Linked DNA regions of Struthio camelus. Each later gene encodes a partner of the first gene's protein in a complex. Links are inferred from orthologs where the notes say so. Each region holds a gene or a part of one and is shown in the gene's direction. Other genes may lie near its edges.

The links.
Region 2: the proteins of RET (region 1) and DOK1 are in contact, whole or in part, in a crystal structure (PDB 1UEF), measured with the Mus musculus proteins. The link is inferred for Struthio camelus from reciprocal best matches to the Homo sapiens genes RET and DOK1. Residues at the interface, in NP_033076.2 of Mus musculus: Thr1056, Trp1057, Ile1058, Glu1059, Asn1060, Leu1062, Tyr1063; in NP_034200.4 of Mus musculus: Tyr203, Thr204, Leu205, Leu206, Arg207, Arg208, Tyr209, Gly210, Arg211, Asp212, Ser217, Phe218, Glu219, Gly221, Arg222, Arg223, Thr230, Phe242, Glu246, Ile249, Gln252.

The regions. Positions count from the first base shown.
Region 1 is NC_090948.1:30,690,863-30,706,473, forward strand, and holds the start of RET (proto-oncogene tyrosine-protein kinase receptor Ret), read left to right. Parts: upstream 1-8,187; 5' UTR 8,188-8,206; coding exon 8,207-8,252; intron 8,253-15,611. UniProt on the Homo sapiens protein: Receptor tyrosine-protein kinase involved in numerous cellular mechanisms including cell proliferation, neuronal navigation, cell migration, and cell differentiation in response to glia cell line-derived growth family factors (GDNF, NRTN, ARTN, PSPN and GDF15).
Region 2 is NC_090945.1:87,723,459-87,739,233, forward strand, and holds the start of DOK1 (docking protein 1), read left to right. Parts: upstream 1-8,808; 5' UTR 8,809-8,863; coding exon 8,864-8,926; intron 8,927-9,562; coding exon 9,563-9,859; intron 9,860-12,732; coding exon 12,733-12,844; intron 12,845-12,999; coding exon 13,000-13,172; intron 13,173-15,336; coding exon 15,337-15,775. Other genes in the region: protein O-GlcNAcase-like, read right to left, coding at 3,506-3,557, 6,888-6,927. UniProt on the Homo sapiens protein: DOK proteins are enzymatically inert adaptor or scaffolding proteins. They provide a docking platform for the assembly of multimolecular signaling complexes. DOK1 appears to be a negative regulator of the insulin signaling pathway.

The DNA.
Region 1 (15,611 bases):
GTTTGAATAGGGAGCTTGGGGAAAAGAGGGCTGGATTTTTCCCATGTCCAAGAAAGTCAACCCCCATCTGCTTGTGTAAACCTCTGAAGACTTTCTGCTAAAATCCCAGAATGCTCCATTTGTCCATAATGTGCTCTCGGCCCTACAAAGCCTACAAAGGCTTTGCAGGATGTTGGAAGGTCAGGGACCTCTTGTCTCAGGGTGAATCTCTACTGGGCTGGCCATGACTTGGCATCCGCATCTCCTTTTATTGGTCATAATGATTTTGAGAACTTTCTGGTCCTTCTAAAGCTCATATTATGATCAAATTCCAAAGGTAAAGGGCAAGCATGAATCTTTTGGCCCACCTTAAAACAGACCACAAGTTTGTGTCGTGCTTAGTTCCTGTCTCATCAGTCACTGCCACATGGTGATATTTTGCTTGTTCGTTCTTTTAGAAAAAACAAGCTATACCCATGTGCTTGGCATCTTGTATAAGTGTAATATATCCTATCTACCTATAGTAACTGGTCTAACAGACTGCAATTTTCTTTTGCAATGGCTGTTTTCAGCCATTTAAACTTCTGTGGCAACTTATGCAGTACTCTGTGGCTCCATATGATGCATTTCTGAAATTTGATTTAAAAAAGATTTTAGGAAATGACGTACTGGAAAAGTTTATATTCAGAGACAGTATTATAATATTAAGCACACCAAATTAAGTAAACCTAAAGTTTACATTTTCAATGTGAATTCATCTCCTTTGTGCAGCGTATTTGAGAGTATGTGCTATTGCATATTCTTGCATTTACAGGACTCTAGCCTTACTCAATGCACAGGATGAACAGAGCAGAGGCTTATATTAGTTGCAGGTGTGTTATTTAAATCATTACTGGTTAAACTGTTGATTCCTGGACCCCAGGAATCTACACGCTCCAATAATACTGCTGACACTGACTTCTAACTGTTTCTGAATAAGACTTAAAAGGCATATTAGTGACCAAATAAAAAATGTATAGGCCAGACTCCCTTCTCACATTTCCTCACAGGCAAGCTCTTGATTTCATTTTTAATGTGATGTTCTTTAAATGCAGAGAGTGTGTATATGTGTAATAGAAAAACATATCCTGTTAGATCGATAGAATGCAGGGGCCAATGTGACTCTATAAACCATGGCGTGAATGAAGATGCGTGCCCTGACTATCTGAGTGCTTTCTTTTACGACCATAGTACCATATATTTAAAGATACGTTTTAGTGTGAATGCAGATCTCTTAAACTAGCCTAGGATCATATTTCCTGATCTCAAATCATTACAATTTTGTAACATATGGTGCTGAATGTAAATCAGGTTATGTAGATCATTTAACCCAATACAGGTTAACTTAAGGGTGAAGTCCCTTGTAAGTCCTGAATCTGATATTTTTATACTAATTCCTATAGTGACCAAATTAATTTTTATTCTACTGAATGTGATCTTCTCTTCATTAACCTTAGTGTGCTTTCATGCTTATGTTCATAACTGAATAATGATCACGAGTTTGTCAGCTCTTCCCTGTCAGAATTCAACTTGATAATTTAGGACACTAAAAACAATCAGGTCACTGTTTCCCCTTATGCTATAGGAGCAAATCCCCAGGTATTATAAGTTGTCATAGCTCCATTCTGAACCTGTGAAAGTGTACATCAGCTGAAGAACTTGCCTGCTATTACCATAAAGCTGTTGTGTCACAAATGAGATGTAGGCACTTTGCTGTGATTACTTCTGGGACTAGATCATTCATTGGGGTATCAAGGTCTAATGCTTTTGCTACCAGTGACGACTTTGGTGGAGGACAGAAAGATTTGAGAGTTCATGTCTGGTTTGTAAATCTGGTTTCGCATGTAAGTATCCTACACCACAACAGACCTTAGCTACCTTAAGCACCAGCAAGGTCAGAGAGAAGTTTTTGGGAAGGGCCACATCAGTTCAGTTCCTCTGCTCTGTTGGATGGTAAGCAGGACAATGGGGAGGATTGAAATGGGATGATGATGGAGGAATTGCTCCAACAGGAACGTTACCTGCCTTGGACCTGCGCACTGTAGAAACTCTGCTATGGGTTTTTGGGTTCCTATCTGTATGGGAGCTCTGTAGGGCGGTGGGCCAGCAGCGACCATGCTTTTCTAACCACCTGGTTCTCACCTTCATATTCTATAAGGACTGAAGACTGCTGACTCTGGCAGAACCCCCTCTGTGGCTGTGGACGATGCTGCCAATGGCACCATGGCATGTAACAAATCGTACTGTGGGCTGCAGAAATTGCCTGGAAGAAGCGCAGCCTTCCCATGGCTGGGAAGGCTCTCTTAGTTCCTGTGTACACAGACATCTGTGCAAGGAGAGTGAGGCCTCTTCCCAGTAGCGATGTGGCAAAGGTAAAGCTGAAAAGATTTCAGGGCTTCATTGTTGAACTTAAAACAACTCAGATTTTATACTGCTCAATGGAGATAACACGGTTTTGTCAGGTTAATTGAATTATGTTTCATATTGAACCCCAAGCATTTATATGTTTTGAGTTGGTTTCCCTATATTTTTGTGTATTAAAACTTACCACATTTGAAACTTCTTAGATTTTTTTTTACATGTTTGAAACCCCTAGGGTATGCTGTGATCATGTTTTCCACTTCACTGTCAACTTCTCTGCAACCGAATGTACTGTTTAAGGAAGAAATATAATGAAAGCTGAGATTCACAAATATTTGCTGGGCATTTAAGGAAGTATCACAGCTCTGTTTGGCTGTTATCATTTTTTGTTAGCGTTGATAATGCAGTATTTTTTAGGGTCATGTATACACTTCAGAAAAGGTTCTGGTGAGTTGTGACACATGGTGGGCAGACCTGAGTGTACGCTGAACAGAATCATTCTCTAACACGTTCACCTCCCCCAGCTCACTATGGGGATACTTCAGCTGGGCGGTGAGCAGGAGGCTTGCCTTGGTGATAGCTTGAGCTGTAAATCCTTTATGAATGAGTAAGGAATCCAGGTTTCTTAAGTCTCAGGTGAGCTATTATATGCAACACCAAATTCTAAGAACCAAGGATGAAAATAATCTTTTTAACATTACTATCATTATAGTATATTATCTACTGGCAATGGACATGGAGAAGTCAACAAAGGATGTTTTATATTTTGTTAGCTGGTTTTAATTTATCAGCTGCCAATTTCAATACATTTCTCTAAATAGTTGTACTGTAACTTCTGGAAAAATATCTACCCCCTACCACTCAAATTCTGATGGGGGGGGTGTGAACCTGCATGCGTGTGTTCATAATGTTTCCAGGCAGATTCAAAATGTTTGTTTAAAAGCTAGAAAAATCTGGTCTTCCAAGTTAGGAAGAACTTTACAGATCATACTGATGTGGAGAGATTTATCATATTAATGCCTGTTAATACCTCAGGGAAATTAATGCCTCTTGAGTAACAGAATGAATATTGAGCCTTGATGCCAAGGTGCCTGCGAGTTGCAACTGTTGAGATTATTTTGTAGTGTGGTTCCAAGCAAAAAAAATTGTCTGTGCAAATGAGATAATCGTTAGTCATCAGCATGGCTGCTCTCTCTGATACTAGCCTGGGGATATTCCTGTGGTGATGGAAAGCCAACGGCATAGCTCCACTGGGTGCTCTGCAACTTGCACATCATGGCTTGTGGGTTGTATCGCATGTGGCTGGTGTGCATTGTCAGTGCCAGAGGTTTACATTCGGTCCCAGTGGCAGCCTGGAGCACAGAAGGGATCGCTCTGTCAGGTCTCCAAAGGATTTTGGCTCTTCCTGGTCTACCCAGGCCCATGATCTGTTATTCTGCTTTCCCTGTCACAACATCTCCACTGCTTTTGCCAGTCCTTTCTCACAGTTTTCACAAGACTCTTGGTTTGCCAGGAAAGCTACGTATAGGACAATGTTGAGCCCCTTGCTTAAAATTCTTGAGATCCAGGCAGCTGCTGCCATTCTTTCTCCACAACAGGCAGATTTGGTTTTTATTTTCTCCTAATGTGAAAGAAACATCTTCTTCGTTCCTTCTCCAGGTGCTGTGATGTAGAAGATCGCTCAGAATTGGTGCGCTGCTTTCTTATGATAACAAGGCTTTCTGACCAGGTAATAGCACTTTCGGATGAGCGCTCTAGGAAAACATGCTATTCTTATGCTCTTTCAGTGATTTAAGCAGGGCCAAAATGAAATAGGTGCTGTGGATTGCTGGACAGTTTAAACGGTAGCTGTACATAACAAGCAGAGAAGAAGGTATCGGGTAGAAGAATAGGAAATAAAACCCATATGTCTTACAAACCTGTAAACAATAGCTTGAATCAAGTCTGCCATGCAGATAAATCATTTGTGATTGTCAGGATCAAAATATGACCTGTCCCTTTACCATTAGCATCTACCTTGGAAAGAATATCTATTCAGTGCAGTCCTAGATGTAACTGTATGAAAGACTTGACAATTTGATCACAAAGTAGAATGAAGTGTTACTAAGTTAACTGTGGGTCTTTTTTAACTCATTTTTTCTAAAGTGATAAGCAATATTACTTCAGATTTCTGAGACTCTACAACAAATAACCTTAAGGTTCAGGACAAATTCTTAAGTCCTGAACCTGTCAAGAATGAGGTTTCAATCACAACGTTCTAGGAGGACTTTCTATAAAAATATTTCTCATTGTTCATTTATGAATGTTCTGACAACATGGAAAGGTGGAACACTCCTCACGTGTCTTGCCTCAGTGCTAACTGAGCATGACCTAAGATCTCTGATGAAAAAACTAAGAAACAGTTATCAAATAATATGCGATTCAGGGAACATTATCATATGAGGACATCTCAGGGTGCCTTTATAAAGGAAAAAAATACAATAATTTAATAGCTCAGTCTGCAGTGCCAAATGAATGACTCAAAGCAAAGCAGAAATAAATGAGTATGAGCTATAGTTTCACAATTGCACCAGCCTGCAGGAAAGTGCCAATTTATTTCCAGAGTATTTTGCTAGGAGAGTGATGGGAGACAGATTACAGAGCTTGAGGTTGTCGGGAAAATCAAGGGCACCTAGTTCTTTATTCCCTGCTTAATAGTGCTGGTTTTCACATCAGTTTTCAAAAAGCCTTCAGACAAAGAAACCAAGTAAATGACATGAATGTGCATGTTATGCCTATCTGAGCAAAGGTTAGCTGCTAGAAGGAGAGAGTTGTCAGGAGGCTTGTGTTCCTCTACTAAACTCGAGGGCAGAGTCTTCACAGTCTGTGTTGGGCTTCTTTGTGGGTGTGGAAACGGGGCCGGGCAGGAACTGTTCTGTTTTGTATTCTTTTCCGCTGAAGTTTGAATTCTGAGGAATAAATCAAATACCTGCATTTTGATAGGCTACTGCTGCATTTCATGAGATGCAGCAGTTGGGTTATTTCAGTCTTGCTGACGGTAGGCTGTGTTTCTAGACCAAACTACATTTCTTCAATACACCATCAGCTTTTCTTGGTGAAGGCTTGGAGCACATTGGAGACCGTGAGGCAGAATGGCTCCATGAAGGCTCCACTGGCATTAGTGTGATGATTGCACTGGCTGGAATACTGCAGATGTTAATATTCGGTCCCTTTCTTATCTAAGATGGTAACTTCTTCCCACATGTGTCGTGTGTAAGGTATGATCCTCTAAGAGCATATAAACCTGCTTAACCTAAAAGCCTGGAAATCAATGACAAAATGATTGTGGTGACCTCATTTATTCTCCTTGTGCGACTAACACAATGGCATCTAGAACCAGGTTTAATGCGCTGGAACAGAGCCTGAAGCTGGCAGAGGAGTACAGCTTTGGCTTCAGTTGCTGAGATGCCAGAAGAGATTGGAAGTCCTTGAAATTCTTCCAAGAAGTCACTTTGTCCTGGATGGAAACTGACATTTATCAGTGCAGATGATAGTGCTGTATTTTAGATGGCATCAATATTGATTTGTATACAGTGTGAGCTTTTAAATATGATTTAAGATAAAGCTCGATTTAACATAAGACATTGCTCCACAAAGCATTGATTTAATGTTAATGTTTTGTATGTTGCTTTCTTTGCTCTAGCCTTTCCCTTGCCTTATGGAGACATCCCACATATGCTTCTTAGTTCCCTCTATCGGGCATCTATAAAAGCCCCACAAAGACTTAGGCACGTGAGAAAGTACTCAGAAGTTTAATTTATGCTCTCAGGTAGCTTCAAATGCAATTAATTTATGAGGGTTGCTACTGTCCATCTCAAATTCATTATTACCCCTTTATGTGCTTGCATTTGGCTTACTGTTTTCCCATGACTGATTAAGAACATAGGCATGCTTGATGGAGGTCTAACAGAAAAGTTAAGAGTAAGTTAGTACTTTTATCGGCTCTGTAGGGTAATTTTGTGTATTGTCGCATCGTGTAGTGTTGGGTATCTTGAGTAGAATCCTTATACACGGGGCTAAGAGAGAAACTAGAATGTCCTATTTGATTAGTATTTAAAGTAGTCCATAGCAGGTGACATTACATTTTACACTGAGCATCATTCTGCTGCGTATGTCTCGTTCAAATGGCCAGAAGGGTTGGAAAGCCTTCTGTTTGCTCTTGCTTGAGCATTGCAAAGTCTGAAGGTTGGGAAAGATCAGGTCTTTAGTTGCTGATCTATGTCTAAGTCCTGATGCCCAGATCTCCCAAACAGCATCACGGTGACGAGGCAACATCAGCTTGGGGTGAAGAAAGTATTCTTTTCAGCAGGTCGAAATGACCTGTAAACGTAACTCCCCACTGATAGTGGGAGGAGAGGTGCAACGAAAGGTTTTCCTTTGGCCGAAAGCTGTAGGGAGGGTGGGGCTCGGGGCGGCAGCGTGCTGCGGGGCTTGTGCCGCCCCGAGGAGCTCGCTCCGGGCCTCGCCGGGGCTGGGGCCGGTGGCGGGGCGAGGCAGGGCTGCGCGGGCGCGGAGCGGGGCTTGGCCGAGCCGGCCCTGCTGGCGGGGACGCGGACGGTGGAGCAGCTGCTGGGAGCGCGGGGGCCGCGCAGGGGAGCGGAGCCCGGGCCGGCGCCGCGGGCGGCCGCGGCCGTGCCGGACGGCGGCAGGTCCAGCCGCGGCTCACGGCACTGAGCCCCGAATGCTTTGGGCGGTGTTTGTTGGCAGCAGCTTTTTCGGACCGCTTTCCTCAGCGAGGCGGACCTGTTGTTAAAGAGTATTTTTGTTCTCCCCTTTGCTTGCGGTTTAAAAGTGGTGTTTCGCTCCTCAGCGCGATGCCTTGCATTCCGGGTTACTTTGGTGCCTTGCCAGGTAGAGATCATCTCTTACAGCATTCTCCTACCATCAAGCAAAAATTGTCTCCTCTCCTAAGGATTAATTATTCAACATGTTTAATGTGTTGGGGGGGGGCACTCGGGGGCATCCTAGCGCCGCAGCGCCTGTCCCTGCTTTGTCTCGCACCTGGAGCGTTTGTGCTGCTCGTGTGTCTTCCTCCTCCTCCTCCTCCCGCTCCGCGCCCGCCGGGCACACCTCTCTGCCTTCCCGGCCCGTCTCCGCACGCGGCTAACTCCGGTGCGGAGGCAGGGGGGAGGACGCGGGAGGTGCGCACCGGGAGGCATCACCCGCGGTTCCCCGCTCCGCAGCCCCCGGCCCGGCGCCCCCTCACCTCGCCCGCCGCCGCCGGCCCGCGGGATGCTCGGGGCGGCGCTGCCGCAGCCCCCGCCGCCGCCGCGCCCCCTCCTTCCCTCCCTCGCTCCCTCCGGGCGGGGCGGCAAGGGACCGGCAGCGCGGACCGGCGGCCCCTCCGCGCTGCGCCGAGCCGAGCCGCGCCGCGCCGCGCAGCCCCGCCCCGTCCCGCCCCGGCCGGGGGAGGGACTGGGGCCGGCCCAGGGCCGGGCGGTGCCGCCGCCCCGGGCAGCACGCTCGGGGCTTGACGCCAGGCGCGGCCGCACCGGAGCGGCGCTTCCCCTTTGATTTGGGTTTCTTCCTGCAGAGTCCGCGGGGCGCAGGCAGCCCCAAGAGCAGCGCGCTCTCGCCCGGCCCAAGGCAGCCGGTGTCGGGGCCGGGAGGTGGCCCAGCCCGGTCGCCCCGGCGCGGCGCTCCGCGGCAGCTCCCCGGCCATGGGCCGGCCCGCCTGAGGAGCCGCAGGACACGGCCGAGGAGAGCGGGGCACACGGCGGCGGGAGCCGGCCTGCGGGAGCCGGCGGGGCGCGCCCGGCGCCGGCCCGGCAGCGCGGAGCGGGGGACGATGCCCGTCGCGGGGCGGACGGCGGGGCTGCTCCTGCTGTGCGGAGGTAAGCGCCGCCGGGCCAGCCCCGCAGCCTGCTGCGGGGCACGTTATCGGTGCCGCGGCGGCTGGTCAGGATCGGAAGATCTCTTCCGAAATATAAACATGGTATAAATAACCCCAATACTTTTTCTTTGCTTTTCAAGCTCTAAAGCTAAGTTAGAACAGATGTGAATTTCCTTGTTCTTTAAATTTATGAGGTGAAAGAGAATAATTTTTAAGCGTGTTCCTATTTTAAGTTTCTAAAAGATTATTCCCTCTCTGCTGTGTTCCCCTCCCCCCCCCCCGAGCTTTTTGTGTCATCAAATTAAATTTGGCTTAGATTGATGAATGAAAATGACCAAAAGATGAAAAGTTATTGGATCGTAAGTTAGACGATGCTATCCACAGATGTCAAGTTTCTAAAGCAAACAGAAAATCCATTATATCTCTTTCTCTTCCATATGGCTATGTTTGCCAACACATTTCTGATGTTTACATGAATAAATCAAAGTTGTTGTTCGCTAGAGAACGTAGCGCAACTCTACATATTCACCAAAATGCATTTATGAAGAAAAGTGAGCCCCAAAACAGCCTAGTAAGTAGACTGCTGGTTGATGTAAGAGTGAAGTGCAATATTAATTCAGTACTTGTGATTCTCTGTAAAATGTGCAACAACTTGCTCCTCATTATCACTGCAGATTACTTGTAGTAGGTCGCACCATCTTACGCTACTGTCAGTAGCTCAGAAAGATTCTAAAACCTCTGTTTTTACTTCATTTTTTCTTTACTATGTTAAAGTACTTTAAGTTGCTCTTATTCCTTTTGTCCGTAATACATTACTGTTAGGGCCTTCAGATCCTCATAAAAACTTGCTAGTACCCAAACCTAGGGTGTCTGGGGAAAAAATATGTGGAATCTAGTAAGTCATTAAAATAAACAAATAGAGAGGGTTATATCACACACCAGTTCATTGTCAGGAAGAATTAGCCATACTTGTATTACTAATGGATGATCTTTCATATCTACTTTACTTTTACCTTTGTATTTATGGCAAATCTATTTTCTTTAATATTTTTGGCAGAATTAGTAGAAATCTGATTTAGCTAAGCTCTTCAATTTGAGGGGTATGTTTGTTTTAGCCAAAACGGGTCACATGCATCTGCTTGAAAATGGTCTTCTGTGATTTCAGTTTAAGCTGGACAGGTAAACTTGCTACTGTTCATTTGGTGATGGACCAGAATATAGTATGTATTCAACATAACTGATGTGCTGAGCTGCTTTCTTCTACAGTTCTTTTTTTCCCCCCTCAATTCTTCCCTTTCAGTGGGACTGTTACTTGATTTTACTTTCACTTGTATAACTGCCTGATATGAATTGTACTCTGAAAGTTCGAGTTGGGGGGAGAGAGAGACAACCCACTTCTCTCCGTTTCTCTTCCCCATTTTATCTGTTTTCTTCTTTGAGTATCAACCCTAAGCAGCTGGGAAAAGTTATGTGAAATCAGTATATTTATTATTAAATATGGCCATAAATTGTTAACTCCTGGATTTGTCCATAGCTTGGAAAGGGATGTTGTAGGAGTTAATTTATCTGAGTATGATAGGCTACCAGCTAGGACTTGTATACCATTTATTTATACTTATAATTGCAGATATTAATTTTGTTTGCCCAAGTTTTGACTGGTGAGGCTTAATATTTGATGCTCTTTAATTTTTACTGAAATTATGGGGAAGAAAAGTTATACACACAAAAGATCACACTTTAAGGTAATTGCATTCATAGTTATTTCAAGAAGTCTAGCATGTTAGCAATGTCGTATGGGTGTCTATTGCTGGAGAGAAGCGCTGTTTCACGTCGTTTAGATGTGTGACGCTAGTTCCTATTTATGTAATATAATCTGAGTTGACAACAGGGGTTAAGATGAATCGTTATGTCTTGGAGGTATTGACAAAATCCCTAAGTGCATGGAGTTCCCCTTTAGAAACTGAACTGTCTCCCATGTGATGGTATGAGTCTCCGGCGGGGGGAGGAACACAGTGAAACTTTAGTGGACTCCATCCCAGAAGGGAAAGCTAAAGATCCTGCAGCGGTAGCTCTGTCGTGCTCTCACTGGGGGGTATGAAGAAATCTCTCACCCATGCAAAACCTTGTCGTGCAGGGTTCCCACCTCCCACCGCACTCGGTTCCTGTTAGTACGTCTTTGGTTTATCTGACCGTGGGAATTTTTTGAAAGCCTAACATTGCAGTAGTTCTTAAAACACATCCTCATGATTAAACTGAAGATTTCTCTAACTTGGACGAGATTGGTAAAATACAATCTGGTGAGCATGCTGTTAGTTGAAAGGGTTAGATCTGGTTCTGTTTTGGCCAGTTTCAAAAAGCACACTGGACCGTTTGTTCTGAAACACGACGGCTGGACCCTTGCTGCTTTTGCATCATAAGCAATGCATAAGTCTCCTGCAGGCAATGATATTAGCATGTGACTACCCAGAAATAAAGAAAATAAAAGGAATGTTTTTCCTCAAGTTAGGACTTCTGTGTCTTTCAGCATCAGTTAAAAGAAATGGAGATATTTATTTATGGAGTGTAGACCTGTGTTTTTCAAAAGCTTACATGTTTTCAGTTGTAGGGCTTCAGGGTGTTTATTTGCACAATGCACTGCGTGGCTGTTCTGCACCAGAGTTTTCGTTCATTTCTGAAAGCTCATATTGATGTGAGAAAAGGACCTTGTTCAGTTAAGTACAGAAAAGAGTGGCTGTAGGACTGTAGTGACTTAGTAGGATGGCGTTGTCTGGAAAGTAATTTTTATTATTAAAGGAAATACTTTCTAAGTGGTAAAGTATTGTCAATGAGTAAAATAATTTATAAGAATTGCAGTGTATGCGTAACTTGTAAAAGTGGAAGGAAAATATGCTTCTATATGGAAATAACTTTAACAAAAATGCTCTTATATATAAGCCATTTCAAATATTTTGTTATTTTATTGACTGTGATATGAAAAAGTGATGAATGCGTTTGTTTTCGTATTCATTTAGGCACTGTACTGGATCAGTTCTTACAGTGCAGTTTCCTGCTGCTGGGGTTATTGCTAATATTCTATTTTGACTGATTTCAACTTAGAAGTAGTTCAGGCTCAACTCGTGCATTCAGAGCAAGGACAGACTTTAGAAAACCAACTGTGCAACTGTGACATTCTTCTCCCCAAAGTTTCTATATTTTGTGTATATTTGTATTTCATCATAGGAAAAGGTGTTTTCCATAGGAGAAACACCTGTATGATTCTTTCTAAAAAGGTTACCGGGGCATTAACATCTTTAGAGCAAAACAGTGCTAATCAGATCAGGTGATCGAGTGCAGGCCATTGAGTTGAGTCGAGGATCAGGCTAAAGAGGGATATAAATTTGTCTGTGTGCCTGTCATTTTGGCAGTGATCTGGTCAGACAATATGTGATTTCTATTTTAATTTGTTTAAATTGTAACCCTGACTGTAGGCCAAGAGAAAATGGAATCTGTGGAGAGAAAAAAAACTGTGAGGCACTTCATTAAGTCAAGTCTTGCATGTCTTATTTGGGGAGGGTATGGAAATCATGAGAAAATTTCAAACCCCACCTTTCTTATTAGGAAAAAGAGGATTAATAGGACACTGACTCTTTCGTACTCTGTTATTTTTATCTGCCTCTAGGCACAGCAACTACAGCAACTACCCCGGCTCTTTCATGGACACCAAAGAACCCACTAGTGGTCTTAGTGCTTCCCCTTGCTAAAGTCACCAGCTTCTGCGAATATGGACTGGGAAATCGATGCTCCACCTGTGCAGAATTGGTTGCAGGGTTAATCCCAGCATTCCTGCTAATTTCAGGGGAAGCTGGCTGGGCCCCCTGTGTCCTCTAGCCTTAGTGTCTGTCCCTACTCTCTTCCTGTTCCCAGCTCCTTCGCCTTCCAGTTCTTCTGCAAATCAGCTTCTGCACTGAAGTTCATAAACTGCAGTCTTTTCCATTTCATAACGAAATTATGTGACTGTTGGGGGGAGGGGTTGGTTTGTTTATTTTTAAACAGCAACAATATGCTAATAGGATCCATATTTTGTGTTATGTTCAATTACCTTTCTTTCCCACTTTTTGGTGGTTTTTTTCTTTTTTTCCCATAGCTTCTTGAAACATTAACACAAGCAGTCAGTTCATATGACGGTGTTGGTTCAGCACCTGCATTCTTAGATGTGCATTCAGTAGCAAGGCAGCATTCAGTTTTCCTTCTGTTTATCATATTATAGTCTGTTAAATTCTTCTTGTTACTGAAACAATAGACACAGTGAGGAAACTTGTACATTGTTTACTCTCTGTTTCTCCCTCTCTCTCCCACTTTGGCCCCTGAAGGAGGGAAAAGACTTGTTTGTTCAGTGATGCGTTTGCATTCTTGGCACCTGCGCTCCGGTTGGTAAGGAGACAGGTGCTAGTTCTAGTTTTTTTAGGGTTTGAACTGAGGTAGCTGGTTTTGGAGAAACCAAATAGTCAGTAACCCTCTCCACAGTACCTCATTTGGCAACTTAACTGTGTTGTGCATGCAGTGTATTTAAGGGGCGTGTATTAATGGACAAAAATAACCTGTAAGTAAGAATTTGTAATTCCCACTTCTCATGGGCCTACTGTCTCCACCATGATGTGAACTAGCAAATACAGACATGTTATGGGTTGGAAAAAATCCATGATGTAGGAGCTCAGTGTTTCCCAGAGCCTTTTTGTGTAAAGGCCATTTAGAGTCTGTCCACAGTGAACAGCAGGTTTGCTCTATTCATATGTTGGCATCCTTCGATTTTCTGGCACCAGAACTGAGAGTGATACCAACTGGTGATTGACTGCAATTGTCTCTGGATTTTAAATGTAACAAATTGTCCGACGTTGCTTTTTGGGTGCAAGCATTTATATTAGTAATATCGCAATACCTATTTTGACATAGACAGTGATTCCCTGAAGTGAGCAAGGTGTATGTTAAGAGCGCACTGTTTTAAGAGCGCACTGTTTTAAGACTGAGGCACATTCATGGTGCAGTGTTGGGAACTGTTCCTAGCTCCTTTTGCTTTCTTTATTCAAAGTAAACTTTTCTAACAGTTGTTGTTTGTTTTCCAGATAAACTTCTTTAGATAAAAGTCATTACAGTATGAGATGGATGGATCTGAGGTTTGCATATTAGATTGGGTAGACCAGTATTCAGGTTTAGTTAACAGCTGTGCTACAGAGTTGTTGGCTGACTCATTCTGTCTTAAATCTCTCTCCTGTAGAGTACTACTATTAGTAGTAATAATCTCCTTTGCATGTCATATGTAATGTTGGTTGTATATAACATAACCCTGTGGCAAAGTGGGGGAAAAACGTACTGAAAAACTTTACAGAATTTCTAGGGTGCACCACATGCATCAAGAAAAAAACAGAGCATCAGAGAAGCTCTAGGTAGCTGTAGAATAAAATCTGTTAGGAGGCTTTGTACAATGAGATTTTGTCCCTCGTCAGCGAGATCTGTTTGCTGCTTCTGCAACAGTGCAGAGAATTCACTGCGTTGAGAGCCTTTTGACAAGTTCTCACATAGAGAAGGTTGCCAATTAATAATGTTATTAAGAAAGCTTTTGTTAATGAAAATAAGTCAGGTGAGGCATGAATAGCCGGATGGTTATTGCTCTTTTTAGAACTCAGTTTTTTAAAAGGACCTTGAAGGTATCTAGAACCATCTTATTCTTCAGATGTTTTATCTTTTTTCCCCACATGAAGAGAACACAAAACTATTTTTCCTAATGATCATTTCAAAATAATAGTTGAGTAGTTTCAGATTTCTGGATCTTGAAATGGGACCATAAGTATACCAGATGCCCTTTTTACCTGAAAGAGATGCTATGTAAATCTACTGAAATGAAAATGATCAGCAGCACTTGAAAGCTTAAGGGGAGATTGCAGTGATCCCAATCAAAAAAGGGAATTAGAAACTTTACTGAGATAATAGTGCCAGAAATGTTGTTTGACTGAATTACTTTAGGAATCTGGCAAACTAAATCAGGTGATTGTAAAAAGAAAATGGATATATTATGCCTAATGGTTGTCTAATGGCTTTTCAGTGCATGTATTTAGAAAACTAATTAAACATTATATTTAACTGATATAACAAAGTTGCTTGTGTTGCTGTAATGGGTGGTTTTTTTAGTGTCCATTATGGGTTTCTTCTAAGCGAGACAAATTTCACTCAGATAATAGAATTAAATCTAGTTTTGTTCCTAATTCATAGATGCCAAGTTGCTGGTTTTCTTGTATGGACTTTTCCATTAGCTGTTCTATTTGTGTGTGAAATGGCAAAATTCAGCTTGACATTAGGAGATCAGAATTTCACATATCTCTGAAGCCTCTTAAAGACTAGTTTCACCACTGAATTAAAACAGGCATCTGAGAGGCAATCTCATAAATGTGTACAAGTATCTGAAGGGGGAGCGTCAAGAGGATGAGGCCAGCCTGTTCTCCGTGGTGCCCAGCAACAGGACAAGAGGCAAGAGGTAGAAACTGAACCACAGGAAGTTCCATCTGAACCTGAGAAAAAACTTCTTCACTGTGAGGGTGACAGAGCATTGGAACAGGTTGCCCAGAGAGGTAGTGGAGTCTCCTTCCCTGGAGATATTCAAAACCCGTCTGGATGTGATCCTGGGCAATATGCTCTAGAGGACCCTGCTTGAGCAGGGAGGTTGGCCTAGATGATCTCCAGAGGTCCCTTCCAACCTAAACGATTCTGTGTGATTCTGTGTGTGATCCTTTAGTCCTACAAGTGCTGTCTTGGAGATGAGACTTAAAATTCACTGTGGCTTAAAGACACGGAGATGTTTCTGTATTCTTCTAAATAATAGATGCATAATTTCAGGTGACTCTTTATTCATTTCTATATCAAGAGCTGAGACTTTCTGATAGGTTCCTAAAAATGGTGCCTTTGACTTTCCCAAAGTTCCCTTTTGCCAGCTCCCATGGACTTCCTTGAGAGTATGCTTCCATGTTGATTGACTTCTGGGGTTTTTTGTATTGATTGGTGGCCTTCCATATCATGTCATCTAGAAGTAGACATCAAAGAGCCTTTCTATGCAAGGAGAAATGAGAACGTGGACTGTATGAATGGTTTACAAAATGTCGGTGAGAATGGCTTTGATTCTCTACATTTTCACACGGTTTTTCTCTTCCCCTCCCCCTGCATTCCTCCAGAGTTACTTTTGAGGCTGAAATCAGCTCTCTGTATTGCTGCTCTGTGTTTGGGAAGAAGATGCTGACCACTGACATTCCTGCTGTTCTGCACAGAAGGAAAAAAAAGAATTTGGTTTAATACAAATGAAACGTGAAGTCAAAGAAAAGCTACAATCAAAGAAAAG
Region 2 (15,775 bases), on another chromosome or scaffold:
AGCTGCCGGCACTGCTTATACAGTCGTCGGGGCACCCCTAAACCTGCAGGGGCGCCCAGCCAGCGCTGCTCCAGCCCCACGCCTGCTCCCCACACCTGGGGTCCCTGATCCAGCCCCACACCTGCTCCCACCACCCAGGTCCCTGATCCAGCCCCACCACTGCTCCCACCAGCCAGGGTCCTGATCCAGCCCCACCACTGCTCCCACCACCCACGGTCCCTGCTCCAACCCCACCGCTGCTCCCATCACCCAGGTCCCTGATCCAGCCCCACCACTGCTCCCACCACCCAGGGTCCCTGATCCAGCCCCACACCTGCTCCCACCACCCAGGGCCCCTGATCCAGCCCCACCACTGCTCCCACCACTCGGGTCCCTGATCCAGCCCCACCACTGCTCCCATCACCCAGGGTCCCTGATCCAGCCCCACCGCTGCTCCCATCACCCAGGTCCCTGATCCAGCCCCACCACTGCTCCCATCACCCGCGGTCCCTGATCCAGCCCCACGCCTGCTCTCACCACCCGCGGTCCCTGATCCAGCCCCACCACTGCTCCCATCACCCGCAGTCCCTGATCCAGCCCCATGTCTGATCCCATCACCCAGGGTCCCTGATCCAGCCCCACCGCTGCTCCCATCACCCAGGTCCCTGATCCAGCCCCACCACTGCTCCCATCACCCGCGGTCCCTGATCCAGCCCCACGCCTGCTCCCATCACCCGCGGTCCCTGATCCAGCCCCATGTCTGATCCCACCACCCGTGGTCCCTGATCCAGCCCCACCACTGCTCCCACCACCCAGGGTCCCTGATCCAGCCCCACTGCTGCTCCCACCACCCAGGGTCCCTGCTCCAACCCCACACCTGCTCCCATCACCCAGGTCCCTGATCCAGCCCCACACCTGCTCCCACCACCCGGGTCCCTGCTCCAACCCCACACCTGCTCCCACCACCCGGGTCCCTGATCCTGCCCCACGCCTGCTCCCATCACCCAGGTCCCTGATCCTGCCCCACGCCTGCTCCCACCACCCATGGTCCATCCTCTGCAATGCCCCTGGTATAGCAGCCTAAGAGAGCTCTGGGCAAATAACTGGGAAATGTCAGGCAGGACTAGGGCTATTCGGTGACCTCTGTGCTGGCTGAAAATGCTGACGCAGAGGTGGCCGTGGCGTGGGAAGGCCACTGATAAACTGGAGCACGTCCACCGAGGAATCACAAACACGAGACAGACGGCAAGCCTGGGAGCCAGGGGCTCTTGGAGCCAGTTCTCCTTCTCTCTCCAAGGGGATCCCCGGACCGTTCTCAGGCTGCAAGTGCTGAGGAGACGAGAAACGCCACGGCCTGACAGGCCGGCACAGCGGGATCCAGGGATGGTTTACAGGGACAGGTGAGGTACGGGGGGAAGCGCTCCAGACACGCCGCTGCCGCCGGAGCTGAAGGAGAGCACGTCCAGGAGCCATCAGGTCCCGGCTGTTTCAGGAGCTCAGACTACACCGTCATAACTGCCCTTCCTGGCCTTAAAAAGTATGAATTCCTTCCAAAATTTCCCCAGCTGTCCCAGACTCACTGCAAATTAACAGAACAGGGCAGACACCTCCCTAGGCAGCTCTTTTGGCTTGCCTGTGTGAAAGCCATCTGATTTATTCATTTATTTGTATTTATCCTTCTTAGTAGATGACGGTTTACATTTTCCCATGATGAACAACACTGGGAAGCACTTCATATACCGCATGACACAGGGGCCTCATCTTGGTTTGTTTCAGAGAAGAAAAATGCTGATGAATATACCATGCTTTTAGAATTGTGATTAACAGCTTTCCCACCCCAGTCCAGTACCAGGACATGACATCACTAGACCTTCTCATTCCCAAAACACTTTAAAACATCACATTTTGTTTCCCTTCATTGTCTCAGCTGCGTGTTTTCCCCAGCGTTTCTAACCTACTTTTTTCTATATCTGCATTTCTTGCCCCCACCATGGTTCTTACTTGCACTTGTGACTGCCCACACTGTCACCTTCACACGCTGCAACAGGCGTACTGCCAGTGCCGTCACCAGCACGCTGCCCGCACTGTCACCACTGCACTGCCCACATCACCACCAGCACACTGCCCACACCGTCACCACTGCACCGCCAATGCCATCACCACCGCACTGCCTGCACTGTCGCCACCGCACTGCCCACATCATCACCACCACACTGCCAGTGCCATCACTACTGCACTGCCCACACCGTCACCATTGCACTGCCCACACCGCCACCACCGCGCTGCCCGTGCTGTCACCCATGCACAGCCAGGCTGCGCGTGCCATGCTGCCCATGCTGGGTGCTCCACGAGGGGCCCCAGGGCCCCAGCCAGCCCTGGCAGGTCCAGCCAGTGCAGCTCATCACACCAGTGGCCGGCACATGAGCAATGGCCCCCAGGAGACCGCTGTTTCTCTCCTGCGCAGACCAACCCATCCTAATGTGACCCTCATAACCGGCCAGTAACAGACCCTGCTCACACCCCCCGTTGCAGGAACATGCGGGGGGACGCACAGGGACAGCGCCCCATGGCACGGGGATGCCAGCTGTGAGGAACGCAGCTGGGGAGGGACCTTGCAGCACGCCTGGACTAAAGGGGCCACCCGCAGCCACGAAGGAGCGATGTGGACGTGCTGCCGAGTTTGTTCTTGCAGCGATGACAGCCTGCAGCGCGGGAAGCCCTGAGGGCGCTCCTGCGTGACGCGCGGGCAGCCCAGGCGCGAGGCTCGGCAACGTACTGGCTGGCCGCCTGCACGCCCACGCGGACCGGCGCCAAGGCAACATCCCGGGGATCGACTTCCAGCATGCTAAACACCGACGTCTTCCTCCTCACGTGGATTTGAGTTCCCATTTGCAGCCCTCGACCCTCCTCCTGCTCCCTGGGACCCTGGCTGCACGTGGGCTGCTGCAGCCTGCTCCAGCCGCGCTGCCGTCTGGGCGGAGGAGCTTTCCTGGTGCCCCCAGAGGAGGCGCTCCCAGGGGCGCGCAGCCCCTGCGATCCTCTCCAAACCTTCCCCGCTGCCGTCCCTCCTGCCACAGCTCGGACAGCAGGATGCCAGCTGTCCCCCCAGCTCCCCGCGAGTTTGCACCCGCGCCATCGCGCAGCCCCCGGCCCACCTCTTCCAGAGCCCGTCCCCTTGGGCTGTCCGGCCGAGCACATCTGGCGGCAGCTGGGCCACGGCAGAGTCCCAGCACCACCTGCCGGGCACAAGCAGCATGGCCCGTCCGGCCCGTCCACCCCACGGCAGGGCCGCGCTCCAGAGCCCCAGGGCAGCGCCCCAGGGTGGCCCTGCAGGATCCTGGCCCTCGGCCACCGTGTCTCCAGCGTCCCGACCGCTCGGCCAGCTGGGGGACTCCCACCAGCGCGCACCCTTGCCGCTCCCGCGCTCACGGCCGCGCAGCAGAGGGGCTGGTGCGCGCGTCTGCCTTTCGCCTCGTCAGTCTCTCAGGGGCTAGTACCTCCAGGGGGCAAAACGAGGGGTACTTGCCATTGAAAGAGAAGTTTCCTCTGCTCCATAGACCACGGTCTCCCATAGAAACCTGCAAAAGGACAGGAAAAACAAGAACAAAAATGCACTTGTCAGTCACTCCCTTAAAAGAGCGTCTCTCTGTGCTGTCCCTAAATGCTGCTCTTAACCCAGAGGTCCCTCAGCTGTTTGCCTCCGGGTACTCCAAATGTCTGTTATCCTGCTGCGATCTTGCTGGACCACGATATGTGAGCGACTGGGTATAAGATGTCTGTACTGCCATCCTTCATAGAGAGAAGCAACTGTAAAAAGCTGCATGAGGGGCCCTTAGCTTGGGAGGGGGAATTTACACAGCAAGATCCAAGCGCAGAGGAGATTGCTGCAGGCTGGCTGGACTCAAAGCCCCTCCAGCGTGGTCTTGGGTGCACCGAAGCAGGGAGCTACGGCCACTCTAGAGCTTCCTGCCCGGGGATTTTCTTCATTCCAGAGACCAGCTCTGTGGTTCTTCTGGGTCATCTGCGCATCTCGCAGCGCCTGTGTAGCGTCAAGCAGTGTCAGTGTTCCTGCATGGGTTGTAAAAGCTGCTCCTCTGTCTTTAACCACTGCAGAAACTCAAACTGCACCAAGACTGCACTCATACAGCTCTTGCCTACACTCTGCAGCAGGGCAAGTCTTCGAAACAGCATCCCCACCCCATGGCAAGCTGTTCAGGTAAGGAACGTGCAAACACCTGGCAGGGATTTCCATGAATGCTGGGACAGTGATTGCTACCCGATCCCTCACAGAGGCCTTGTCTGGCCCCCACTGGATAGCACCAAAGCCTTGCAGAGGGAAGGGCCACTGGAGGGAGGCACCTGGGGAGCAATCTTAGGGCTATCTGCTGGCAAGGACATTCATTAATGAGCGCCGAGGCTGGCCAGAAGGACGTTGTCCTTCCAGAAGGTTGTTCAGCAAAACTGAATGCAGGAAATACAGATCTGGAGTCAGCAAATTCCCTAGCGTTTCTTAGCATTTCTGCTTCTGCTGCTTGCAGGCTCGGGAGGTTGTCAGGCACCAGTGTCCGACACAGGGTTGTGGCTGCAGCGCTGCAAGCTGATCATCTGCCCTGGGTGCCCTCCTGCCAGCCAGAGCAGCAGGGAATGGGGCTGTGGTGGGAATGGCACGTCTCGTCTGCTCCTCACCCTCCTCCAACACTTGAGCCTTGCTATGCACCAAGCATGTCCATCCTCAGCTCTCCACTTAGGCTGGAGGAGCTTCTTTAGATGCTAGTTCACCTGGGGACAATGCGGGAATAGGCAGGTAAAGGAGTCTGGAGAGCTGCAAATTTGACTGCTTCTTGAAGAGAGGTTAAGGAGAACCTGTAAGTGTTCAAGCATAGATTTGAAATTTAGCAAGGCAGGGACCTTCAGCCTCATGGTCAAGTCACGGCAAGACCTGGCGGCTGCAATTAGAAGCCTCACAGAAAATGCATTATGTCTTGAACAGTGATGGCAATTAGCCATCAGGGCAGCTTCCCAGTTTCAGATGGGCTCTGCGTCATGGGCAGCTTTTAACTCAGACAATGCACTTGCCTATCAGATGAGAACAACAAGAGCAGAGATTCAATAAGTGAATGCATTTGCTGGGCTGGGCCGGGCTGCGCACAAGGGCAGATCACAATGACTCTGCTAGTCTGGCAGAAAGGGCCAGCTCTTGGCACCTGGCATGAGGCCAGCATCGCCCAGGAACAAGCTTTCCCCAAAGCACTTGAGCGCAGTAGAGCCACTCTACCTGGGAAGGTCCCTTTGGCAGGAGCCCATCTTGCAGCCCTCAGCACTAACCCTGGGCCATAAGGATGGGGTGGCTTGTGCTACAGCACACACTGAGTGTTTGCTGCAGAGAGATGTTTTACCTTCTTGAACATTCACAAGCATACTCCATCTACTTTGAAACGATATATATTTGCTCTGCTAGTCCTATGCATGGGGTCAAATATGTGGCCACTCAGGGATCCCAGAAAACATCTCACTCAAAGTATTTCTATAGGAAATGGATTTTCCATTTCCCAATCCTTGGGAACTCCTGTTCAGCTCACGATGAGGTCCCAGCAGTCCCCATACAGCACCTGCCTGCAAGGGCCACGCTCACACTTTGTTGTGAGCTGACACTGTCTTGAAAGTATGAGATTCGCCTCGTAGCATGGCCCTGCCAGCAGCAGCCCTGGTGGAGGTGCCGTCCCTAGCCCACTCAGAAAACTGGCTTAAACTGTGCCAGCAAAATCCTGCCTGTGCCCGTGGCTGCATCTCCAAAGCGGTGATGCTGAATCACTGCTTCCTTAAAAACAGACAAGCACTGATGAGTGAGGCTGTTTGCTCTCCCAAGGTCCAGATCACTGTATCAGTGAACATCATTGCCTGCCGACCTCTGGGCGAGCTAGGATGTGCCTGGCTGGAAAGCATCCTCCCAAGACCCTGCCAGCTCCCCTGTCTTGCGTGGTCACCCAGATGTTCTGGCCCATCCAGGCTCTCTGCTGCTGGTGATGTCTCGGCTACCAGGAGGGAGCAGGGGCATCTGGGCAGGACACTCCCGGTCTGCCCGGGCCTGGACGCAGCTGTGCCCTGCTCAGCAGCCTGCCCACCATAGCACCACTGTGCACACCCTGCCAGACCCTGTGCTACTGGGATCACGGATGCCTTTCTTTCCTCACTCTCCAGAAACCTCCTCCTCCTCCCTGAAGAGGAGGTCTCTTTCCCAGGTCAGCTTTCCCATACCAATGATTCTTGTCTGATTCAAATTTCTTTTTACTATCAACTTCCCTATTCTCCCACTTTCTCTTTGATTTGTATTTACTTGTATGGTACAGGGCTGCCAGGAAAGATGGAAGTGCTTTTGCCCAGTGGGTGCCAGGCCCGGCCCAGCTCCAGAGGTGCTGTGCTGCAAGGACTGGGGCTGAGCCACACCGAGCAGCCCTCTGAGAGCAGGATTGGCCCAGGCAGCACCGAGCACAGCCAGGGCAGCGCCGCGCTGGGGGTATGGAGGCAGTGGGAGCACACACAGGGATGTTACCTCCGTGCCCAGGGCAGAGAAAGAGGCACTGTCCAGTGCTGGAGCCAGAGCAGCCGGTGCCCATGCCCTGGTGCAAGGCGGCTGCTGCTTGGACGGCTAGGGAACAGCTGGGGGAGTTTCAGGGACCCGGGCCAGTCTCCCATCCCGGGCGGGGACGGGGCGCCGGGCAGGGACCCAGGCCGGTCCCCCATCCCGGGCGGGGACGGGGCACCGGGCAGGGACCCGGGCCGCTGCCTCCCCGATGCCCGGGGCCCCAGGCACTACGTCTCAGAGCCAGTCTCCCGTCCCGTCCCAGTGCTGTCCGGGCAGAGGGACCAGCCCCGACCCCGACCCCGGCCCCGGCCCCGGCGGCACCTACCTTCCACCACGCCGCAGAGGAAGCGCGGCCGCTCCGCCATGCCCGCGGGCCGGAGCGGCGGAGCCCGGTGCTCGGGCGGGCGGAGGGAGGGAGGGAGGGACGAGGGAAGGCACGGATGCGCGCAGCGATGCGCGGGGGTGAGCGGAGGGATGCGCGGGGGGCCCGGAGGGACGGGCCGGGCGCGGAGGGATGCGCGCAGCGGTGCGCGGAGGGATGCGCGGAGGGACGGGCCGGGGGCGCAGCGGTGCGCGGGGGGCCCGGAGGGACGGGCCGGGCGCGGCCCCCCGCCCGCCCCCGCGGGGACGCGCCGCCGCAGCGCGGGGGGCGGCCCCGGCGGGCGGGGCCCGGTGGGCGGGCCGGGGCTCGGCTGTGTCACCGACCGGAGCGGACGCGGAGCCAGGTGGGCGCACGGTAGCGGCGTGTGGGGAACACGTCGCCTGTGCACGATAAACATGTTACTAGCACGCCGTGCCAGCTCACACGCACTGCTGTGCCAGGTGTCACCACTGCACAATACCCTGTGCCGTCTCACCAGTGTGCGGTGGCACGCACACGTGCACACGCCCACACACATGCACACGCACGCACACACGTTACCAGTGCACCCTTTACGGGTGCTGGGCAGGTACACACACGCACACACACATGCACACACACTACCACTGTGCGGGACCCGGTGTGCACACGTTACCAGCGCGCAGCACACGCGCACGCTAGCGGTACCTGGTGCGCGCGTTACCGGTGTGCCATACAGACCCACACACACGTTCCTGGTGCGTGGCAGGAACGAGCGCCCACAGCTGACTGGTGTGCAGGCGTGGCGTGCACAAGTTACCGTGCGTGGTAGGCACGCACACTGCTATAAGGGGCCCCAGGCCTTCACCAGAGTCAGAGTCAGGCTTCTCTACGAGCGTTTATTTCAGCTTGAGCTGGGTGCCTCCGAAGAGGGACCCAGAACAAAGAAATTCTGGGATACCTATACTCCTTACAGCCTGATTTCCCCGCCTGCCAGCGACAGTCTCTTCCAATCTTCTTTACGGAGTCGCTGGTCTCTGTTCGCTGGTTCGTGTCCACGTCCCAGGACGGCTGCTGTGTTCCCGCTTCGCGGTGCCTTACCTTATGGGAGGTTCACGGCTGCCTCTGCCCCTCGGGTGCTGTGCCTCTGGGGGCTGGTTCGAGCCGCCCCGCACTTGTGTCAGCAGTAGCCCACAGGTTCGGGTAAAGTTCAAGCTTAGGCCTGCAGGCTGCGCTACTCCAAGCACCGAGGCTAAGTTTAATCAAGGCTATGCCAATGGAAATAATGGTAGTTTTCTTACACACATGCATGCGTGTGAGCGCACACACGCGCACACACACACACACACACACACACACACACACACACACACACACACACACAGATGTGTGCACACACATATGCACACACACATATACAGATGTGCGCGCACACAAACATATGCATGCACACATACAGATGTGCACACACAAACACGCTCATATACACACATACAGATGTGCACACACACGCACTCATATACAGATGTGCACGCACATATGCATGCACACATATATAGATGTGCGCGCACACACACAAACACATGCATGCACACATATACACACATACAGATGTGCACACAAACATATGCATGCACACATATACAGATGTGTGTGCACACACACACACAAACATATGCATGCACACATATACAGATGTGTGCACACACACACACACACACAAACATATGCATGCACACGTATACACACACACAGATGTGCGCGCACACGCGCACACACCTCCACCCACCCACCCCCCGGCGCGCGCGCACCCGGCTGCGGTGGGGCATGGCCCGCCCTCTGGCCCCGCCCTCCCCGCCCTGGCCCCGCCCCCAGCCCTGCCCCCCCCCCCCCTCCCCGCCCTGGCCCCGCCCGCGGCCCTGGCCCGGCGCGGCGCGGGGCGGCGGAAGCGGGCGGCCGGCATGGACCCGCCGGCCAAGGAGGGGCCGCTCTTCGTGCAGCAGAGCCACAAGTTCGGCGCCAAGGTGGGGCCGGGGCCGGGCGGCTCGGCTCGGCCCGGCTCGGCTCGGCCCGGCCCGGCGGGCTCGGCTCGGCCCGGCTCGGCTCGGCTCGGCTCGGCCCGGCCCGCTCCCTGCCGCCGGCCCGCCCGCGATTGGGGAAGTCGGGCCGGGGCCGCTGGGGCCCGGGCTCCGCCGCCGGTGGCCGCTGCCCTCCCGCGGGGCCGGCGGAGGTGCGGGCCGGGCCGGGACCAAGCCGGGGGGGCTGGTCCGGGGGGGGTCGAGCCGGGGGGGGGGCTGGGGCTGGAGGGGGTCGAGCCGGTGGGGTCGGGGCAGGAGGGGGCCGGGGCCAGGGGGCCATGTCTGGAGCCGGGGGGGGTCGAGCCGGGGGGTGTTGAGCCAGGGGGGCCGGGGCTGGAGGGGGCCGGGCCGGGGGGGTCGGGGCCGGAGGGGGCCGGGCCGGGGGGGTCGGGGCCGGGGCTGGAGGGGGCCGGGCCGGGGGGGTCGGGGCCGGAGGGGGCCGGGCCGGGCCGGGGGGGGGGTCGGGGCTGGAGGGGGCCGGGCCGGGGGGGGGTCGGGGCTCGGGGCTGGGGGGGGGCCGGGCCGGGGGGGTCAGGGTCGCCCGGGGGCTGCCCAGCCCGGCCGTGACCCGCCGCCCCGCAGCGCTGGAAGAAGAACTGGTTCGTGCTGTACCCGGCGAGCCAGCACGGCGTCGCCCGCCTTGAGTTCTTCGACTGCAAGGACCCGGCCGGCGCCCCCGAGAAGCTCAGCACCAAGCGGCTGGACAAGAAGATCGTGCGGCTGGCCGACTGCGTGAGCGTGGCCCCCGCCGGCGAGAGCGGCCCCCGCCACGGCACCGCCGCCTTCTGCCTGGAGACCAGCGACAGGAGCTACCTCTTCGCGGCCGACAAGCAGCAGAGCGAGGAGTGGGTGGCCAAGCTGTGCGAGATCGCCTTCCCGGTGAGCGCGGGGCCGGCAGCGGCGGGGGCATCCCAGGTCCTGCAGCCGGAGCCCGGCCGCGGTTCGCCTCCGTGGGGGCACCGGTGGCCCCGCAGGGCCCCGGGGAGGTCTGCGCGGGGCAGGCCGGGGCATGGGGGCGTGCGGGAGGGAGGGAGGAGGCTGCACAGCTCCTCGCTTCGCAGCCGCGGCAGCCTGGCTGCGCCCGGCGCGGGGAGCCTGGTCCCGGGAGCTCGGCTGCGGGACACCGGGTCGCTCCGCGTAGCTCCTGGCCGTGCTGGTAACGGGACTCGCGTGGTAACGGGACTCCTCAGCCTGTCCTCGGGTAGCTTCTTGCTTGCGCTCACGCTTCGAGGACTGGCTCTTTTCCCTCTGCCTAGAGCCTTGCGCCCCTCCGTGGACCCCGGCTTGCGTTGGCCTGATCGCTGCCTGCCGTTCCCGCCGCTGGAGGGGCGGAAACAACGCCACGGAGAGCCCTGCGTGTGCAGCTGGCACCAGGAGCCAAACCTGCAGCCAGCTGCAGTGCTGACTGTCGCCCCTCCGCCGGTTCTTGGGGCTCGCCCCTTTTTGGAGCCAGGGTGCCCCCTGTCAGTGCCAGGCCTGCGGCGGAGCCCTCTGTGCCTGGGCCCTGAGGGAGCTCAGCCAGCCCCGCTGGGGAGCGCGGTCAGCTCTGCAGCTCCTCCCTAGAGCAGTTGTGGCCAGCGAGTGTAGCAGCTTGCCTGCCCGCACCTCACACCGCAGCTGCCTGAGACGCCTCCGTGGGAAGGCAGAGTTTGCAGAGCAGCAAGTGCGGCCATCCCCGCTGCCCTGCAGGGCCTCCCGCGCTCGCCCGGCCCCTCTGGGTCCGCCGTCTCTCCTCTGCCAGACGAGATGCCTGCAAGGCTCTGGGTAGAGTTCTTGCTGATTGCAGCTTTGTGAGCGCTGGTCAGGGCTGCCCCGTATGATGACTGGTTGTGAAGCTGGCAATCCTGGGACCTTCCCACGAGGACGCACATGTTTGCTGAGCATGACTTATCTTAAGCCGTTTTTTGTCCCTGCTTGCCTCTCCCTGCAGCCTGCTGTCAAATCACATGTGTTTGCGCAGTGAGCGCCTGCTGGTCAGGCCAAGGAGCACAGGTATGGCACTGGGAATCGTTCCTTGTCTGTGCCAAAGTCCATTTTGTGCGGTGTTGCTGCCTTTTCCCTGGAAAGGGCCTGTGGGGCTGAGCCGGGAACACACAGGAGCGCCTTCACAGAGTGATGTGGGGCAGTGGCAGGGCAGGGGAACAGCTGCTTGGAGCAGGAAGGTGCTCACGCTGTCCCTTACACGGTAGCTGTTAGCCGGATGCTTGTGCTCATGAAGCACACTGACAGCTTGGGAAGAGGTTAGCAAAGTGCTGCGAGGATGGCATGTGTTTTAGAAAGGTCTGGCCTGCAGCAAGAGGCGCAGGAGCTGCGCCTGATCTCTCTGCAAGGAGCTGGTTGTGATTTTTGATCCTCTATATTGGGAGCATGATTTCGTTTGAGATCAGTTGCAGTTCAGGTTGGAATTTCTTTTCCTTCTGAAGATTAGGGCTCCTTTGGGCTGTGCTTTCCCTCAAGGGCTCTGGCAGACTTGCTAGCTGTTGACTTCCTGATCCCAGGCTAGAGCCCTTCCTGCGTAAGATGCTTTAGCTGAACAGGAGCCCTCAGGTCTAGGCTGCTAGGTTTCAGCAGTCCCCAGTCTGACGAGGAGGCAAATGAGAGGGTCTGTAGGGCCTTACCTCCTGTTAAGAAGCCCACGTGACCAGTTTTGAACTGAAACTGTGACGATTTGCCTTCTACAAGACACATATTCTGCTGCAACCCCATCCCACGTGCTTTGACACTGAGAAACGTTTTTCAGCTCCTGACTAAATACAGACCCTCATGCAACCGTGCAAAACCTGCTGAAGCTGCGCCTGCAGGGCACCTGTGAGCCTTTGATTTGCATGGGGCTTCCCTGGAGGGGGTTCTTTGCTCTTCTGTGGTAGCGCGGGGGGTGCACCCCGTGCGCAAGCCCTTGGGAGACCCTGCTGCAGAGGGGCGCTGGCTCGGACGACCAGAGTGTATGCGTTGCACTTTCAGTTCTGCATGCGCTAAATGTAGAAGTGCTTGCTTCCCTTCTGCGGGCTGTGCGCAGTGACACTGGCACCGTCTTCCTGCCCGTGCAGAAGCCAGACGCAGAGACCCTCGCGTTACTGGGTCACCTCGCGCGCCCCCCTTGTCTGCGCTGTTGGGAGAGTGCAGCTGGGCCTGCGCGGCGCTTTGAGTGCTGATCTTGCCTGTGTTGGAGCATATCCGTGAGGAAGCAGAGCTGTTCTCTGTGTCGGCACCAGGACATCCGGGTGGCTGAGGCCCTGCCAGAGCGGGTCAGATGAGCAGCTGCAGTGGGGCATGTTGGATCACTGGCTGCTGCAGCCAGAGGAAGTTGCGTGTCAGGGCCAGCTTGCGTCCGTGCCCCGCAGGGCCTGCTGCGCTGGAGCCCAGGGTCCAGTGGAAGGGCTGCTGGGGGCAACTGCTCCTCTCCATGCATTGGGCTGGGTGGGCCTGGGGTCCTGCTGGAAGTCCCAGGGATGCCCCTCAGGCACAGCCAGACCCTGTGTCTGTCCACGGGTCCTGCTGGTTCTGGGCAGGTGTGGAGTCTGTCCCGAGCTGTGGGCTGGGAAGGGCTTGATGCATCTGGAGAGCAGCCAGGCCATGGAGTGGGCAGAGGTGGGCCCCACGGGAGGATGGCTGGCCGCTGGGCCAGGCCGCAGGGCCATGAGTGCTGGCCACGGGGGGCGAGTGGAGTCACGGTGTAGCAACTGGCTGCATGGGGCCCTGGGGGGCCCGCGTGGGACAAGAGAGGCTCAGGCTTATCTGCTCTTCCTTGGCAGGGAAACGGCCCCAGTGATGGTGGTGTGGCAGCCCGGCGCGGCAGAGAGGGCGATGGGGAGGCGCCAGCCTTGGAGATGGCCGTGAACTCCATCTACTACTCACGGGAGGAGGGTAGGGCTTGCTGCTGTGCTGGGCTCGGGCACCCTTCCCCAGGCCCATGTCCTTGCATTGTCCTCGTGCCAGTGGCCTGGGAGACCGGGCTAGGCCTTGCCTGGAGCTGGGAATGGGGTTTCGTCTGCATCCCCTGATCACCCCTGTCCCCACAGCGAACACCTTCTGGGTGACAGTGCAGCGGACGGAGGCTGCGGAGCGCTGCGAGTTGCGTGGTGCCTACGTGCTCAAGGCTGAGCGTGACAGCCTCATCCTGAAGGACCCACAGACGAAGGAGACCCTCTACGTCTGGCCCTATCGGCTACTTCGGAGATATGGCCGAGACAAGGTGAGTTGGGGACCTGCATGCCATGGGCTGAGGCCCATTAATTACTCTGCAGACTTTCCATGGCTGAAGGGCAATGAACTGATGTGCCAGAATCTGCCTGTGGCAGCCGTGCAGCGGGCCCTGCCACGTGCTGGAGCTGCTGCAGTCCTTGGTGACTGCAGAAAGGGCAGCTTTGTTCCCCAGCGGCATCTGTGATCCTCAGCCTGTCCCCAGCTGCCAGCCTGTGATGGTGGGTGTCCCTGTGACGCTGTGCAGGAGTGTGGGCTAGCAGGATGCCTGTTCCTGCTGAGGGCATGCTGCGCAAAGCCCTTTTGCGTGTGGTTCTTGCCCCGCTCTCGTTGGGACTGTTCCAGCCTCTGCCAGATGCCCCTGCAGCTGGCTTGTCCCCTATTTTCCTCTCTCAGTGATCCCCACCCTGGGCCAGCAGCACACACACCCTGCTCCTGCACTCTGCAGGGCTGTCCCAGCCTGCAGGGAGCTTGGCTCTTTACAGCCCTGGCTCCGCGTGCACCTTCTTCTGCCCTGGCTGCAATCTGTCTCTCCTAAAGGACAGTGATGTGAGCAGGTTTGGCTGTTTGAGACCTCCATTACTCTAGATTTGTTTGCCGTTCCGGATGTGCTGCTCTGAGCTTGGCTGACCTACGCAGGCCTGTCCCCTCCCCAACATCCTTCAGCAAAGAATCCCCCAATCCTCATGCTGCTACCCTGAGTGCGAGAGGCACCTGCCCCGCAGGCTGTGCTGCATGCAAAGGAAGTGGTCTCCCCAGGGCTGTTTATAGAAGCAGCAGTGTCAGCTGCAGCCTCCTCGTGGTGCTTTCTGCTGCACTTTATGAGAACAGAAATGGAAACTGTCTGAGCAACTCTTGGGGAGGCATCGGGCCTGTCTGCAGGGCCTGTGCTGGGGGCAGGAGCAGAGCCATGTGGTGTGAGGAGCATGCGCAACAACTGCACTTGCAGTGGCAGCTTGGCTGAGCTTGTGTTAGGAGCGTTCAGACCTGGACCAACTGGGGCCAAGGTGTACTTGAGTCCTGCTGTGGTTCACAGAGTGACTGAAGTTGGAAGGGACCTTTAGGCATCGTCCCTGCTCAAGCAGGGTCACCTAGAGCACGTTGCCCAGTAGCCTGTCCAGACGGCTTATGAATATCTCCGAGGATGGAGACTCCACAACCTCTCTGGGCAACCTGTGCCAGTGCTCAGACACCCTCACAGTGAAGTTTTTCCTCATGTTCAGGCAGAACGTTCTGTGTTCCAATTTGTGCCCATTGCCTCTTGTAGAGGTTGCTGTGGAAGGAAGGAAGGAAAGGAAGCTGTGTCTTGGCTTTATTAGGAGCATTTCGGAGCAAGCGAGGCTGCTGCACGTGAGATTTTCTCCCTTACTAGTGCTCTCACCTGGATTCAGGAACTGAGGTTCAGGAAGGGTCTTGCCATCTGCACGCGAGAACCTGCACGTGGGTGTGTGTTCAGGGCCTAAGAAACACAGTCTTGCTGCGAATCTTCTCTTTAAAATACTCTATACCGTTAACAGAATAATGCTTGTAAGGCAAATGCTTTGTTCATTGGCTATTAGTAGCCAAGCTGCTGCTTCTGGCCTTTCCCCATGAAAAGCCCTGTTCCTCTGTCTTATATCTCTTATCTCTGGATTGCTTCCCTTCTTCCTGACTAATGCTGACTTACCCTTCCGCTCATAATATTTTCTCCTGCAGTACTGTTACTCACCTTGTCACCCTGCTTTCTCTCCAGCGCCAACTGCATATTATTTCCTAGGCTATCTAGTATCAGCTGCTGACCCTGCTGGAAGAGTTCAGGTAAGGCAGCCAATGTGCAGCAGGACCTGCAGCTCTGGGCCTGGAGCATCTCGCAGTGATGCCCCCTCCAGTGTGTCTCACTCCTGTTTCACAGCTTGCTCTAGGCTGCTGGGCAGCGCAGCCTCTCCCTGTGCAGGCAGAGCGGGGCTGTGCAGCTGCAGAGCACACTATGCCCTTAGAGTAGCACTCTCCGCAGCCACCCTCATTGCTAGGAGTGGAAGGAGCAGCAGTGAAGTTGTCTTGCTGGAAGCGCAGGGCTGGCCCTGCAGCCATTTGCTCTTCAGCAGGAAGCAGCAGCCTGTGTGAGACTCTGGGTTGCAGGGTGCTGGGCAGGATGTGACCCTTGCACTTCCCTGCAGGTGATGTTCTCCTTCGAAGCTGGTAGGCGCTGCGACTCTGGCCCAGGGAACTTCACCTTTGAGACCAAGCAGGGCAATGAGATCTTTCGCCTGGTGGAAGCCTCCATCCGGGAGCAGAAAGCGCAGGTGGAGGAGAACCGGCAAAGCTGTGACTCGCTGGATTCGGACAGCCCCAGCATGGTACTGATCCGCCAGGCCCTGGCTGACTCTCTGAGCCTGGAGCTGCCTGCGGAGGGGGACAGCACCATGGTACCGAAAGCAGGGCTGGCACCCAGGCCCAGTGCCGTGGCGGAAGAGAGAGATGCTGTGTCTCTGCTGAAGACCCGGACTCTGCCAGAGCCCCCCGTGCCGCAAGCCAAGTCTGTGGTCCCAAGCACACCCCCACGCTCCCCTCTGCCAAAAGTGCCCCAAGCCATGCTGCCGGCTGAGGACCCGTCCA